Nothobranchius furzeri: one gene and its partners. The protein of the gene in region 2 purifies or fractionates together with the protein of the main gene of each other region. This does not show direct contact. Links are inferred from orthologs where the notes say so. Each region holds a gene or a part of one and is shown on either strand. Other genes may lie near its edges.

The links.
Region 1: the proteins of rpp21 (region 2) and rpp30 purify together in Homo sapiens (co-immunoprecipitation; 3 studies listed by BioGRID and IntAct, counting the BioPlex papers as one, with this or other methods). This does not show direct contact. The link is inferred for Nothobranchius furzeri from reciprocal best matches to the Homo sapiens genes RPP21 and RPP30.
Region 3: the proteins of rpp21 (region 2) and rpp40 purify together in Homo sapiens (co-immunoprecipitation; 3 studies listed by BioGRID and IntAct, counting the BioPlex papers as one, with this or other methods). This does not show direct contact. The link is inferred for Nothobranchius furzeri from reciprocal best matches to the Homo sapiens genes RPP21 and RPP40.

The regions. Positions count from the first base shown.
Region 1 is NC_091756.1:51,152,765-51,157,180, reverse strand, and holds the start of rpp30 (ribonuclease P protein subunit p30), read right to left. Parts: upstream 2,849-4,416; 5' UTR 2,775-2,848; coding exon 2,693-2,774; intron 2,052-2,692; coding exon 1,993-2,051; intron 1,715-1,992; coding exon 1,592-1,714; intron 1,419-1,591; coding exon 1,347-1,418; intron 870-1,346; coding exon 780-869; intron 700-779; coding exon 583-699; intron 461-582; coding exon 431-460; intron 292-430; coding exon 254-291; intron 93-253; coding exon 13-92; intron 1-12. Other genes in the region: nudt13 (NAD(P)H pyrophosphatase NUDT13, mitochondrial), read left to right, coding at 3,858-4,060, 4,135-4,277, 4,413-4,416. UniProt on the Homo sapiens protein: Component of ribonuclease P, a ribonucleoprotein complex that generates mature tRNA molecules by cleaving their 5'-ends. Also a component of the MRP ribonuclease complex, which cleaves pre-rRNA sequences.
Region 2 is NC_091748.1:41,191,457-41,195,854, reverse strand, and holds the start of rpp21 (ribonuclease P protein subunit p21), read right to left. Parts: upstream 2,848-4,398; 5' UTR 2,395-2,847; coding exon 2,338-2,394; intron 2,241-2,337; coding exon 2,140-2,240; intron 1-2,139. Other genes in the region: pak2b (serine/threonine-protein kinase PAK 2b), read right to left, coding at 3,971-4,057, 4,145-4,282. UniProt on the Homo sapiens protein: Component of ribonuclease P, a ribonucleoprotein complex that generates mature tRNA molecules by cleaving their 5'-ends.
Region 3 is NC_091751.1:33,814,119-33,818,500, forward strand, and holds the start of rpp40 (ribonuclease P protein subunit p40), read right to left. Parts: upstream 2,822-4,382; 5' UTR 2,748-2,821; coding exon 2,631-2,747; intron 2,585-2,630; exon of another isoform or gene 2,447-2,584; intron 2,355-2,446; coding exon 2,213-2,354; intron 2,113-2,212; coding exon 2,044-2,112; intron 1,971-2,043; coding exon 1,875-1,970; intron 900-1,874; coding exon 777-899; intron 392-776; coding exon 226-391; intron 159-225; coding exon 24-158; intron 1-23. Other genes in the region: riok1 (serine/threonine-protein kinase RIO1), read left to right, coding at 3,016-3,071. UniProt on the Homo sapiens protein: Component of ribonuclease P, a ribonucleoprotein complex that generates mature tRNA molecules by cleaving their 5'-ends. Also a component of the MRP ribonuclease complex, which cleaves pre-rRNA sequences.

The DNA of each region.
Region 1 (4,416 bases), on a different chromosome or scaffold from region 2:
AACAGGATTTACCCGCACGCAGTAAAACAGATCTGCAGGTGGACGAGATAGATTCTTTAGCATCTCGGTTGGACAAACCAAACAGCAGACCTCTGAGAACCAGATCAGGAACGCAAGACATGAAATGTGTTGTACAACACTACACACCAGACACAGTTCTGTGAAAACACACACGATGGTCTGTTCTGATATCTCACAGACTGCGGCAACACTGAGCCCTATGTCAGATTAATGAACAATGGTTAAAGGATACAGGTTGGCGATGTCATATGGTCCTCTGAGCTCCCAAGACTGAAAACACAAATATCAGGTCAGAGAAGTACGGTGGACAAAAAGGGCTAAAACTCAGTTATTAGAAATGTTCTGATTTGGTGAAACAGAACCTTTAGTTAAATTCATGTTTGATCCACAGACGTAGCTGATCACTGACCTTGTCAGCTGCACTCGACAGGATCACGTTCTGAAAAACAGAAACAGAGCTCAAGATCTCACCTGCAACGTGATGTCACAGAGCTTATGTCAAATAACAGCATAGTGTAAATTACTCTGCAGCTAGCCAATCAGATGCAAGGACATGCATACCTTCCCTTTACAGCTCTCCATCAGGCACACGGCGTTGGCGATGGTGTAGCGCCTCATGGTAGAGTCTCTGATGGCTGCAGCATAGGATACCTCAAATGCAACGCCTCTCTCGATGGCCTGAACTTACACAGGTTCACACATTCATTAAAACACACACACACACAAATAAACAAACAAACAAAAGCCTTGGTTGTCACCGCATTGATCGGCGCTCTCTTGAAGAAAAAGGGTAGCTTCTCTGTCACTGGGATGCAGATGATGTCGATATCGTACAACGTGCAAGCTGCCTGAATAACACACACACACACACACACACACACACACACACACACACACACACACACATAATACACATACTTCAGTAAAAATAGAGTGCTTTCCACTCAGTCTGTTTCATACAGGTGTAATTATTGTACAGCTGTGTTTTCCAGGACAAATTACAGCTACTGCTATTACAACCACAGTTAGTTTCTATTTTTTATAATGTTGTGTTTCTTGAAAACTTTTCCATTCAGTGAAATTGCAGTTTAGGTCCTGTTGTGTTTTCTAATTAAATGTTGTCAATTTATTATTTTTTTGTCTTTTTTAAACTTTTCTTTTGTTAAATATCCAGTTGTGTTTCAGATGGTCTTTTGTTTAGTTTTGTTGTGCGTTTTTCCAGTAAGTTGATTTTTTAAAGTCACATATTTCATCCATCAACATTCCTGTAGTCAGTGAAAGCATCATCCTGTTGGAGAGATGAACAGAGTGTCAGTGAAGCTCACATGGAAGACTTTCTCAGAGCTTGAATGGAGGGCGATGAGGTCGAAAAATCGAAAAGCTGGAGAGTTGGTCGGCTGTGAGCACGCACGCACGCACACACACGCACGCACACGCACGCACGCACACACACACACACACACACACACACACACACACACACACACACACACACAAAACAGGCTGTGGCATCACATCATACAATCCATTTCAAGATTATTGATCCCTTAGCTCTAATTAGACAACTCACATAGTGACTGGCGTCAGACATCACCAGCGTCAGTCTGTTCAGCACTCTGATTGGACGAGAACGGCCCTGCACCATGGGCAGCTTATCAAAGATCTCATTGATCGGCTTTGGTGAGGGAATTTCCTGCAAAGACAAAATAAACATACTCCCAATAATAAAAGTTTGAAACAAAATGTAAATTCATTGACAATCAACTGATTGATTCAGCATCTGCTTAACCATAGAGATCAAGTGAATGCTCGGAGATCAGTTTTATAAAACCCGTTTTGATGTTTTACCATTTGGATGTTTCTGTTCATAAGAATGAATGAGAATGTAATAAAGTATCAAAACGCAGCCACATCAAAGGCTTCTATCTGACTCCATGCTGTTCCTCAATGCAGCGCAGTAGGTAGTCTGACCTGTTTCTTCTTGGCTACGAGCTCAAACACATAGTTGATGGCGACCGTGGAATATCCAACTGTAGGAGGGGAAAACAAAATCCCAGTTAATCCCTTCAGTGAGGTTTGCATCATCCAGGTTCTGATTCTGGATCTGTGGTTGTGTAGGGTTTAGGAAATTGAGTGCTTTAAGAGCTCTGTTTGTGTGAATCAGGTGGATATCACGATCCTGTCACAGTCACTGATGTAAATACTCCAAACTACTGAAGATCAAGTAAACATCTGATATCTTTCTGTTTCCTGTCAGACGTAATGATTATGTCTCAGGCTTTATCCTCAACAGTTATTGTTCAGTTACGCACGTGCAAAGGGTCAAATGGACAACAAAGAATGCTTTGTTATGAAATATTGTTCCTAATCAAAAGTACATAATCCAAGGCGATGTTACGGGTTTGTGGGTTTTAGATGCAAACAAGCTGTGATCGATTATTTCTCTAATAAACGGATTCAACTTTTCCCACAAAATCTAGTGATAAGGGTTGTTCTTAGTGATGTTATAAACAAGCATTATCGATTAATATCTTAACAAATCAAGTCATTTACTGACAGTGTTTAACTGATACCAGAGCCTCATCAGCCGAACCAAAACCAGCTGAGTTACGAGGCGGACCAACTAAACACAACACTAGAAAAGGTCTGGTTTAAGGTCGAGAATACTCACGATGAGCAGCTGTTTCCACCAAACTCTGCAATTGCTTTATATTAGACGAATACATCACGTTTAGGTCCATAAACACAGACATGGTACCACGAACCTATACAGCTCCACATATAGAAAACCGCAAGGCTTGCTGGGAGCTGGAGTCTTGTTCTCGATGAGTGAGTGACACGGGCTGAGGCTGACACAGAATATTTTGTATTACCGCCACCTGCTGGTGGCGGAAGCCCCAAGCCCAAGAACGACAAAAGAAGAAAACCAGTGGATTCTGTGATAAAGCTAATCTTTTTTCTCAATTTGACATGAACCTGTTTGGATATTTCCTCCTGGGAAGACGTATCTTGTTTTAAAGTGACTTAAACACACGCGCGCGCGCGCGTGCGTGCACGCACACACAATATGACTAATTTAAGCATACATTAGTAACAGAGGTGCATTTTTGTTTTATTATAGAAAGTATTTTAGTATCACTTTAATACCAGGACAGACAAATTACAAAGAAATCAAATACTTTCATTTTTCATTTTCTAAATTTTGACTAAAGTTCAAATCAATCATATTTACTGCTTTACACTAGCCTGGCAAGCCAGACTAAATAAATCTGTTATTTAAACTTTGCAACGCAAGAGGTCTAGTAGTTCACTAGGTTATTTTTATTTACTTTGTTGCTTCCAAAGAACTGCAGCTGCAGTAACAACAGTCTGGCAGCAGGGGGCAGCCGTGCCAAACCGCTGCTCAGGGAACAAACAGCAGCAGCAGAAGAAGAAAAGGTCAGAGGTCAGTGAAAAGTCGAAAATTTACTGCAGACGTCTGAGATTCTCGCGCTTAAACCGAACCAAAGTGGATGTTACACTGCTATAACAAAGCGGGTCAGCCTGAACTCTGAGCGGGTTTTTGTGTTCAGAACCACTAGCCTGACACGAATCTATAGTTTCAGTGTAACCTAACAGAAACGAGCAGATTTACAGAATCCCTGATTATTAAACAGGGCATCCTACCGATCTAACACTTCTGCCTGTGAAATAAATCTGATGCAGTGTGAGAATAATTGTTGGAGGTCACAAGAATAATTATTCAGAAAAGTGTATTTAAATCAGACCTGATCAGACTAGTTTGAGTGGAAAACTGCTGCTTATGACTGGTAAACAGGTTAGTATCAGCTTCATTAATGAACATCTTGCAGAAACATAAAAACAGACTCTGTGTGCAGGCTGAGGCAGCAGAACCACACCAATCCAGTTCAGATCAGTCTGGCCTAATCCAGCAGGTCCGGTCCAGAATGGCTTCCCTGTTAAGACCTCTGAGGATTTTCTTTCCCGCCAGATGCTGTGTTCCGACCCGTTTCTACTCAGGCTTCGTGTCCAGGATGAGGTTCTGAGGCTTAGACATCTTATTTATTAATTGTTTGGTTGATCTGCTGATCATGGATGGATGTTTCTGTTCAGATTCCTGAACAGTCTGAAGGAGTGTGATGAGGCGTGTGTTGCAGCGCTGCAGAACGCTCACATTTTCCTGTTTCATCGGTTGGTTCCACTGCTGCAGCAGACTGGCCGAGGAAACTTATCTCCAGTCTTTCTCACCTACTCAGGTACACAGCCCAAGAACCAGAACCCACAGACTAGCGAATCCAGAAAGTCAGGGACAGATCAAGATCTAAGACTTCAGTCAGAAGAGGAAGTAGTAGAACCTTCACTTTCAAACATCTCTTGTGATTATCTTCCAGATGT
Region 2 (4,398 bases):
GTGACCCCCCCAAGTGAGTCCCCACAGGTTTGTTTGTTCTGAGGTAGTGAGGTTACCAGGATTAAATATGCAAAAATTACATTAATAAAATACTAAAAACACACATTTGATAGAGGAAAATATATACAACTTGTCCTCTTGGACCAGGTATCCGATCCCCAGGGCTCCGTTTTCACCTTCCCTCATCTGATTGGGAAGGATCACAACTCCATCTTTCCCTGTTGGGTTTTCTCAAACAGGTTTAGTTGATTCCTGGTTTATCCGCCTCCCACTTTGCCCAGACCGGATCCATGACTTGAGGAAAAAACCCGTTCACTCTCAGAATTTCCTCCACATTTTTTGTAGTCTTTTCCAGCCTTTCAGGATCGTTGTGGGATGTCAAGATATCATCAATGTGACTGTCCTCTGGGACCAGCTCCTCTACTGCGACTTTGAACTTGACAATAATATAATAAAATCTTTATATAAGATGTATAACGTTTGTAATTAATCACTTTTAATGTGTATATGCGGAAAAGAGTTTGGGTTGGGGGGGGGGGGGTGTCTTTGACAGGCAAGGAGTCCATCCATCCATTTTCATCCGCTTATCCGGAGTCAGTTTGCGGGGGCATTAGCCTAAGGAGAGAGGCCCAGACTTCCCTCTCCCCAGCCACTTGGGCCAGCTCCTCCGGGGGAATCCCAAGGCGTTCCCTGGCCAGGTGAGAGACATATGGGCCATTCTCATCTGTACCGGGTCGGCCCAGGCCGGGTAGCCCCAGTCGGCCCCAGCCTGGCCCGGGTGATTCCACACATCCTTGTCTTAAGCCCATGTGGGCTGATTCTACCCACCAATCAGAGGCTTGCTCTAATGGAAGGTGTGAATTTGCTGTCAGCAGTGGGTGTGTTGGCCCTGGTCGGCCTGAAGCAGACCCCCTCGAGAAGAGGGCTGAGAATGAGCCTTGGTTGGCCCGGAAAAATACCAGGCCACCCAGATATGTAAACAACCTACGCTACCCGACCCGGTACAGATGGGAATGGCCCAATAGTCCCTCCACCGTGTCCTGGGTCTCCCTTTAGGTCTCCTCCTGGTTGGACGTGCCCGAAAAACCTCACCAGGGAGGCGTCCAGGAGGCATCCTGACCAGATGCCCGAGCCACATCAACTGACTCCTCTTAATGTGGAGGAGCAGCGGGTCTACTCCGAGCCCCTCCTGGACGACCAAGCTTCACACCCTATCTCTAAGGGAGAGCCCCCAGCCACTCTGCGGAGAAAACTCATTTCAGTCACTTGTGTCTGCAATCTCGTTCTTTCGGTCTCTACCCAAAGCTCGTGACCATAGGTGAGGGTAGGAACGTAGATCGACCGGTAAATCGAGAGCTTTGCCTTCTGACTCAGCTCTCTCTTCACCACGACAGACCGGTACAACGCCCGCATCACTGCAGACGCAGCACCAATCCACCTATCGATCTCACGCTCCAGTTTTCCCTCACTCGTGAACAAGACCCCGAGATACTTAAACTCCTCCACTTGGGGCAGGACCTCATCCCTGACCCGGAGAAGGCATTCTACCCTTTTCCGAATCAAGACCATGGTCTCAGGTTCAGAGGAGCTGATTCTCATCCCAGCTGCTTCACACTCAGCTGCAAACCGCTCCAGTGAAAGCTGAAGATCACGTTCTGATGAAGCAAACAGGACCACATCATCTGCAAAAAGCAGAGACCTGATCCTCAGGCCACTAAAACGGATGCCCTCCACATCTTGGCTGTGCCTAGACATCCTGTCCATAAAGGTTATGAACAGAATCGGTGGCAAAGGTCAGCCTTGGCGGAGTCCATCTCTCACTGGAAACGTGGACCCAGTGAGATGGGGACCAAGCTCTGACACCGGTCATACAGGGACCCAACAGCCCGTATCAGGCAAGGAGTCCTCTGGGGAAAAAGGTTGGGAAGGAACCTCTAATTTAAGTCAACTGTGCACAAATAAACATATTTCACATAGTTTATTTTACTACGGATTTAAAAAGTCAAGAAAATAGAAATCATGCCCCATCTACACCTGATAAAAATAACGGAAGAAGTACCTTTACTCGCAGGAAGTGCCGCAAAGACCTAAATTTGTTTTCAAAATAAAACACTTAACTCTTTGCCTCAGTTTACTTACTGTCTGAGGACCAAACGTCTTGCGATAGTCTTCTGAGTGAAGCAGTAGAAACGAGCCAACTCCACGTTGTTAGGATTTTGAGATAATATACAATGTGCAGCCTGTAGAGATAAAACCGGTACATTAAGCCCCTTAACACGGTAGCTACCATGCTAGCCGCGCGACTACTGATTTTTCTCGTAACCATTTCTAACCGACCTGATAAAGGTAGTTCATCCTTTGATAGGCCTCCTTGTCCTTTAGTTGATGTGCCATTGAGCAAACCAAAAGAGAGAATTAAAACGCCCACCAGGTGTGTCCGTATGAAGAAAGCTATGACTGAACAAACTTAGTGGCAAACCAAAACACTGTCCGCCATATTTATTACATTTTGCGCATGCGCGACTCCAGCTACTTTTTTACGCTCTAGGATCTGCTTGGGTCGGATCAACATTTGCATGATCTGGGACTGTTTGTTTGGAGGGTGGTCACGGATTAATCTGGGCTTGTTTCATCTGTCACACAAATGTAAACAGTAGTACTTGTGCATCATCTCAGATTTGCAATATTAAATTAGAAAATACAAATATTTATGAAACTCTAAATTTTGTACATTCCATACAAGACAAGTTCACCTCGAATCTCTTTGGGGATTTTATCGAACTTCTGAACATCAAGCTGTCTTTATTATCAACAATTCCTGTTCCAAGAACTCTCCCTTTAGCTTCCTGTGGTCCATGATCAATGTGGTACACATCCTGATACTAAACAGCACCGTGACTACTTTTCCTATGTAGCTAGGATATTTTTTAGGACAATGTTTAAAAAATAAAGACAATAATAGTTCATAGCATAAAGCCAGCAGACATAATAAATCTCTAGTTAAAACTTTAATGACAGGTTTCTGCATGTTTTATACTATAAACCGAAGATCTTTACATTCACATCATGAGAGCAAACAAACGACATTTGTGTGTAGACCAGGCTTTTAGATCTTCAGAATAAAATATAAAAATTCTACAATAGGCTCCTGTTGCAACTTCACCCAATATGGTTGTTTTCAAATCTCCAGTGCACTTCTGGAAGAACGCAAAGGACAAAGGTCAACATAAAATACTCAATTTAATAGCAATAAAGAAAGTATAAACCCTGTCATCTAACATTTTAATTGCCTGTAAGGTGCGCCTCTGATTTGAGGAGACTAAAAATACCGGGGAAGAACAGATGCAGTGGATCGGTCAGGTGTGACAGCTATAGAACGACACGAGCACGGCACACATTCATGATGATCAATGCCGTGAAATGCTTCCTATAAAATGGTGAAGAAATGCTGATAAAACATGCGTGGACACAGCACGTCTGTTGTGTGAGACACATTATAAACACAAAAATGAAATTCAAGTATCAAAATAACTAAGATACTGACAAGCTGAAAAGTCAATTACAAAGGTAGTAAAAGTCGTGGGAAAGGAGACAAACAACACATTAGGCAACTTTTGCTTTTTTTAAGGCAGTTGATTAAAAAAACTAAACAGAACTAGGCATCTTCTTCATTCCAAGTTAAATACAAGCCAAGCCCCAACTTACCACCAGATTTGATGTACATATAAACTATTCCAGGCTCTTAAACTAAGCACTTTAATTTGACTTGTCTTCTGACGTCTGAGAGAAAATGAAGTTCATGTGGACAGCGGTGTGGATGTGCTCGAGATTTTTGGTCTTCTTCACAGTGAGGTTTGTCAGGGCTTCTAAGGCTGGCGAGTCACTCTCAGCCTATTGTCTGGCACAAAATCTAAATGGTTGGCACATGTCTGTGCACAGCATGAGGAGGCAGGCTAGCTGGTTTTGTTCACTAACGATTGCCCTTCATGGCCTCCTTGGCTGCCAGGATGAGTGGTGTGAGACTGGAGAGGGGCTTTGCCAGCTTCAGGAACGGATGCTGAATCAACAGAGAGGAGGACAACAGCCATTTTAATGACACGAAGACAAAATGTAAAACACTGTAAAAATAATGAAAAAGTTTCACCTGCAGGAGTTCCTTCCCACCACCTCTTTTCTCTACATCCATCTCCAGGCAGCGGTTCAGGAAATCTCTGAAAACCGGAGACAGCTTCTCTGGATTCTGAAGCTCAGGTGTGCCATTTGTGGCGATCAGGTATAACGCCTGCCACAGGAGAGACCCGAGAAGACTGGATTAGTGACAGTAGTTGGTAGACAAACGCATCTAAACAGGTGGCAAGGGATCAAACGGTACTGAATGTCAAAACGCATGCAGGTAGC
Region 3 (4,382 bases), on a different chromosome or scaffold from region 2:
TGTGCTTGTGTGAGAGAGCTAACCTGAGCTCCTGGATCAGTCGCTGCACATCGTGTGGCAACAGCAGGCCACAGATGGACACGCTCAGAGCATGACTGAGCACGTCATTGGGCTCTGGACAGGTGAACGATGACAGGAAGCTGCTGGATGAGCTCTCACTGAAACCACAGAAGAACGACTTGTAGTCACAACACTTGGACACGTGACCCTGACTGGACCACTCACCAGCTGATGTCGGCCTCCACAGCTCCAATCCACTCCAGAAGACTGTGACAGTCACATGACCGAAAGTCGGGACAGGTCAGGTCAGTCAGGTGGCGGCAGCTGACCTCAGGTTCGTGTTTGGACCAATCATAACGAGACAGGAGTGGCTGTAGAGAGGCCCCACCCTCTGAGAGGCAGAATGGAGTACAGGTGATACAGTAAAAGAGAATCTGGTCCATAAGTCCAGTTTAGACTGCGAGACCATCTAAAGGCTCAGGAAGCCTCTGCCTGTGTTGTGGATTCATCAGCTGATTGGAGAACATTGAACCTTTACATGATATTCTGAGATGTTAAATGTGGGGTCGTCATCATCTGGAAGCCGTAATCATCACAGGTAGAACAGATAAAGGCGGAAACATCTGGATTGACAGGATGAGTCTGTCTCATTGATTAGTCTCACCTTTCAGGGTGGATTAGTGACAACAGTGACCTTTACCCCTTGTTCTAGTTTTTATGAGTTTCACCTGTAAGGAGAAGATCACATGTAACCATCCTTAACAATGGTGTGTCACCTGGATGATGGGACAGTAGGAAGTCTGTCTGCAGCTGAAGGTGTGACCGAAGACCTGTAAGGAGCCGGGTGTGGCCCCGTCCACCAGGTGCCATGCTGCTGTCCGTCAGGTCCACAGAGACCACTGCAGGAGACATCACACTCGGTTGGTTTCTGGTTCTGTTCAGGCTGAGCTCAGCAAACAGGTCAGGACTGAACAACCCGGACCTGAGTCAGGAACATCTGGACATTCTTTCCTGCAGGTTCCTTCTAGTGAGGATAAATTCACCCTAAAACTCCACCCAGTGTCCTGGCTCTGCTGCTGTTTAGTCAACTGGCTTTTTTAGGCTACCGCACGGGTCCCTTCACACCTGGTACCTGGAGACCCAACACCTATAGTCCTGGGACTTCCTTTAGAAAGCTGCTTCTGCACAAAACGGGTCAGAAAACGGTGTAAGGGACTTTCTACGCAAACCGCGCGGTTTATACAGAAACGCTTGACAGAAAATGTGGAAACTTTAAACAAACTTTGGATCTGGAGACGAAAATCGTGTCATCACAGCTGGTGATATGGTGACATGTTTGACCAGAGTGATGAAGGTCTGCAGACCTACCAGAGACCTGACCAGAGTGATGAAGGTCTGCAGACCCACCAGAGATCAAACTGATGAAGGTCTGCAGATCCACCAGAGACCAGACCAGAGTGATGAAGTTCTACAGACCCACCAGAGATCAGACTGATGAAGGTCTGCAGATCCACCAGAGACCAGACCAGAGTGATGAAGTTCTACAGACCCACCAGAGATCAGACTGATGAAGGTCTGCAGACCCACCAGAGATCAGACTGATGAAGGTCTGCAGACCCACCAGAGATCAGACTGATGAAGGTCTGCAGACCCACCAGAGACCAGACCAGAGTGACGAAGGTCTGCAGACCCACCAGAGTGATGAAGGTCTGCAGACCCACCAGAGACCAGAGTGACGAAGGTCTGCAGACCCACCAGAGACCAGACCAGAGCGATGAAGGTCTGCAGACCCACCAGAGACCAGACCAGAGTGATGAAGGTCTGCAGGATCGATCTGGACTTGGTGACCTTTAGAAAACAAAAGTAAACCTGACCAAATCTGCTGCAGGTTCTGTGGTTGAATCTGGACGGTTTCCCCTCAACCCCCAGAAGTTCGTACGAGTCTTTGTCCAGAGACAGAACCAGACGTCCTGCAGGGACCAGAGGAACCACTCAGTTTTTTTCATGTTGCACTGAAGAAGTCAAAGCTGTCGCCTGTTTTACCTTTTGGCATCAAAGCAACACAGGTATCTTCATCGATGCGAGTCCCAAAGGACAGACCATACACAACACCTGAAGAAGGTTCAGACAAGTGTGTACAGGTAAGTACTAAATAACAAGTACACACAGGTGTGTACTGATAACTAAATGGTATATACAGGTGTTGTGTTACCTTGGTTTATGGCACCCTGCAGGCCTGGGTCCAGCAGCTCGTGTACTGGTAGCTTCTTGATCAGGTAGAAACTGCTGAAGGTGTTCATCACCAAGTCCAGGTTGGAGGGGGTGACGCTACACCCAGGCAGCAGTACAGATACCTGCACAGATGAACCCAGTCAACAGAAGGTAGCACGACTTTGTGATGCTGCAGGTAGAAGCAGCAGAAACTGGACATCACCTGGACCCGTACCTGGCAGCAGGGTTCTGTTATTATTTTCACCTATCTATTCAGCAAGTACCCGGATGAGAAAAGTTTATACTTCAGTTGCCTCGTGACTCAGATGTCGGTGCAGCGATGCGCGCTCCCGCGACAGGGCATGCACGGCATGGGCAAAACACTGGCTCGTCACAGCGCGTGCACGCGCAGCTCTCACCTTGTGGTTGAAGTGCAGCTTCTCCACCTGAGGGCTGACCCGGTTCTTCTCGTCCAGGAAACTGGACCGATCACAGACCAGCAGAGTCCGAGGAGTCCGGTCCAGATCCGAACACATATTCACGGTACCCTCGTCGAGACCGGATCCAGACGAGAACCCGTTAGCATGAAACCAAACGGAACCGCGGAAGTTCTGGATGTTCTACAGGTTCTGTAGATCTGAGCAGGAGGATGTCGTGCTGTTTTCAGAGCCTCGTGGGTCCCCGTAGTCACGTGGTCTACGCCGGAAGTGAAGAAAACACGCGGTGGTGAAAGCGCGCTCCGGTCCGAACCTAGGGTAACCCGAGCAGAACTTGGTCCTGGTTTCTGTTTATTCACGTGACATCATGGTGGAGGTGGCTGCCGTACCAGGGCAGTTTGATGACGCGGAGGAGGACAACCGGTATGTTGTTATTTGTGACGTATTGGATCAGAAACGTGACCTAATGAGAACGGTCCTGCTCCGGTGTTGTACTGATGTCGGTATCCCAGGTAGAACGTGTACCCTGCGTCGGGAACGCGCGCCGTTTCTAGCTAACCACGTGTTTAACCTGCGTAAATAAAGATTAGTTTTGTTCTGTGGGTGACTACCGGAAGTGATGCATTTGTAGGAGTTCTACAGGTGAACAGCTTTGTTTTAAACACTATTGGCTCTTATTGTTTCTCGTCATCATGAAGTTCAGTCAGCTGTAGACAAAAACACCAGAGAACATCCATCTGCTGATCAGCAGCCAGGCCCAGGCTTCCCTCTCCCCAACCACCTGGGCCAGCTCCTCCGGGGGATTCCCAAGGTGTTCCCTGGCCAGCTGAGAGACATAGTCCCTCTAGCGTATCCTGGGTCTTCCATTAGGTCTCCTCCTGGTTGGTGTGCCCGGAAAACCTCACCAGGTCCAGCAGGCATCCTAACCATATGTGGAGAAGCAGAGGATCTACTTCGAGCCCCTCCACATTTCTCACCCTATCTCTAAGGAGGTGTCCAGCCACCTCACAGAGAAAATGCATTTAGTCCGCTTGTATCTGCGATCTCATTTTTTTGGTCACTGCCAAAGCCCGTGACTGTAGATGAGGGTTGGAATGTAGATAGATCAATAAATTAAGAGCTTTGCCTTCTGACTCAGCTCTGTCTTAACAATGGCAGACCAGTACAAAGCCTGCATCACCAATCCATCTATCGATCTCACGCTCCATCTTTCCTTCACTCGTGAACAAGACCCCGAGATACTTAAACTCTTCCACTTGGGGCAGGACCTCATCCCTGACCTGGACAAGGCATTCTACCCTTTTCTGACTCAGGACCATGGTTTCACCAAACTCCTTCCACTCCTTGAATAAAATACATGGATAAACAGAGCTTACTAGGACTTCCAACATTCAATTCAGTTTATTTCTATAGCGCCAAGTCACGACCAGTCGTCTCAAGGACCTTCACACAATAACCATTCCAGTACAGGTCAGGGGTCTCATCTATAAAACATAGCATAGAATTCTTACTAAAACTGTACTTAAACTCAGCAAAAAAATGTACTTATGCCAAGTAGGTTTGTGATCTATAAAATATGGAGTACGCACAATTGCACACAATCTCCGCTTTATGAATCAGAGACTACCTAGAAATGTTCTCAGGTGTTTTTTGATCATGTCCCACTTCCAACACGCCCACTTTCTGCCTTTAATGGTCACTGCAAAGTACCTTGTGGATCTCATGCATATACAT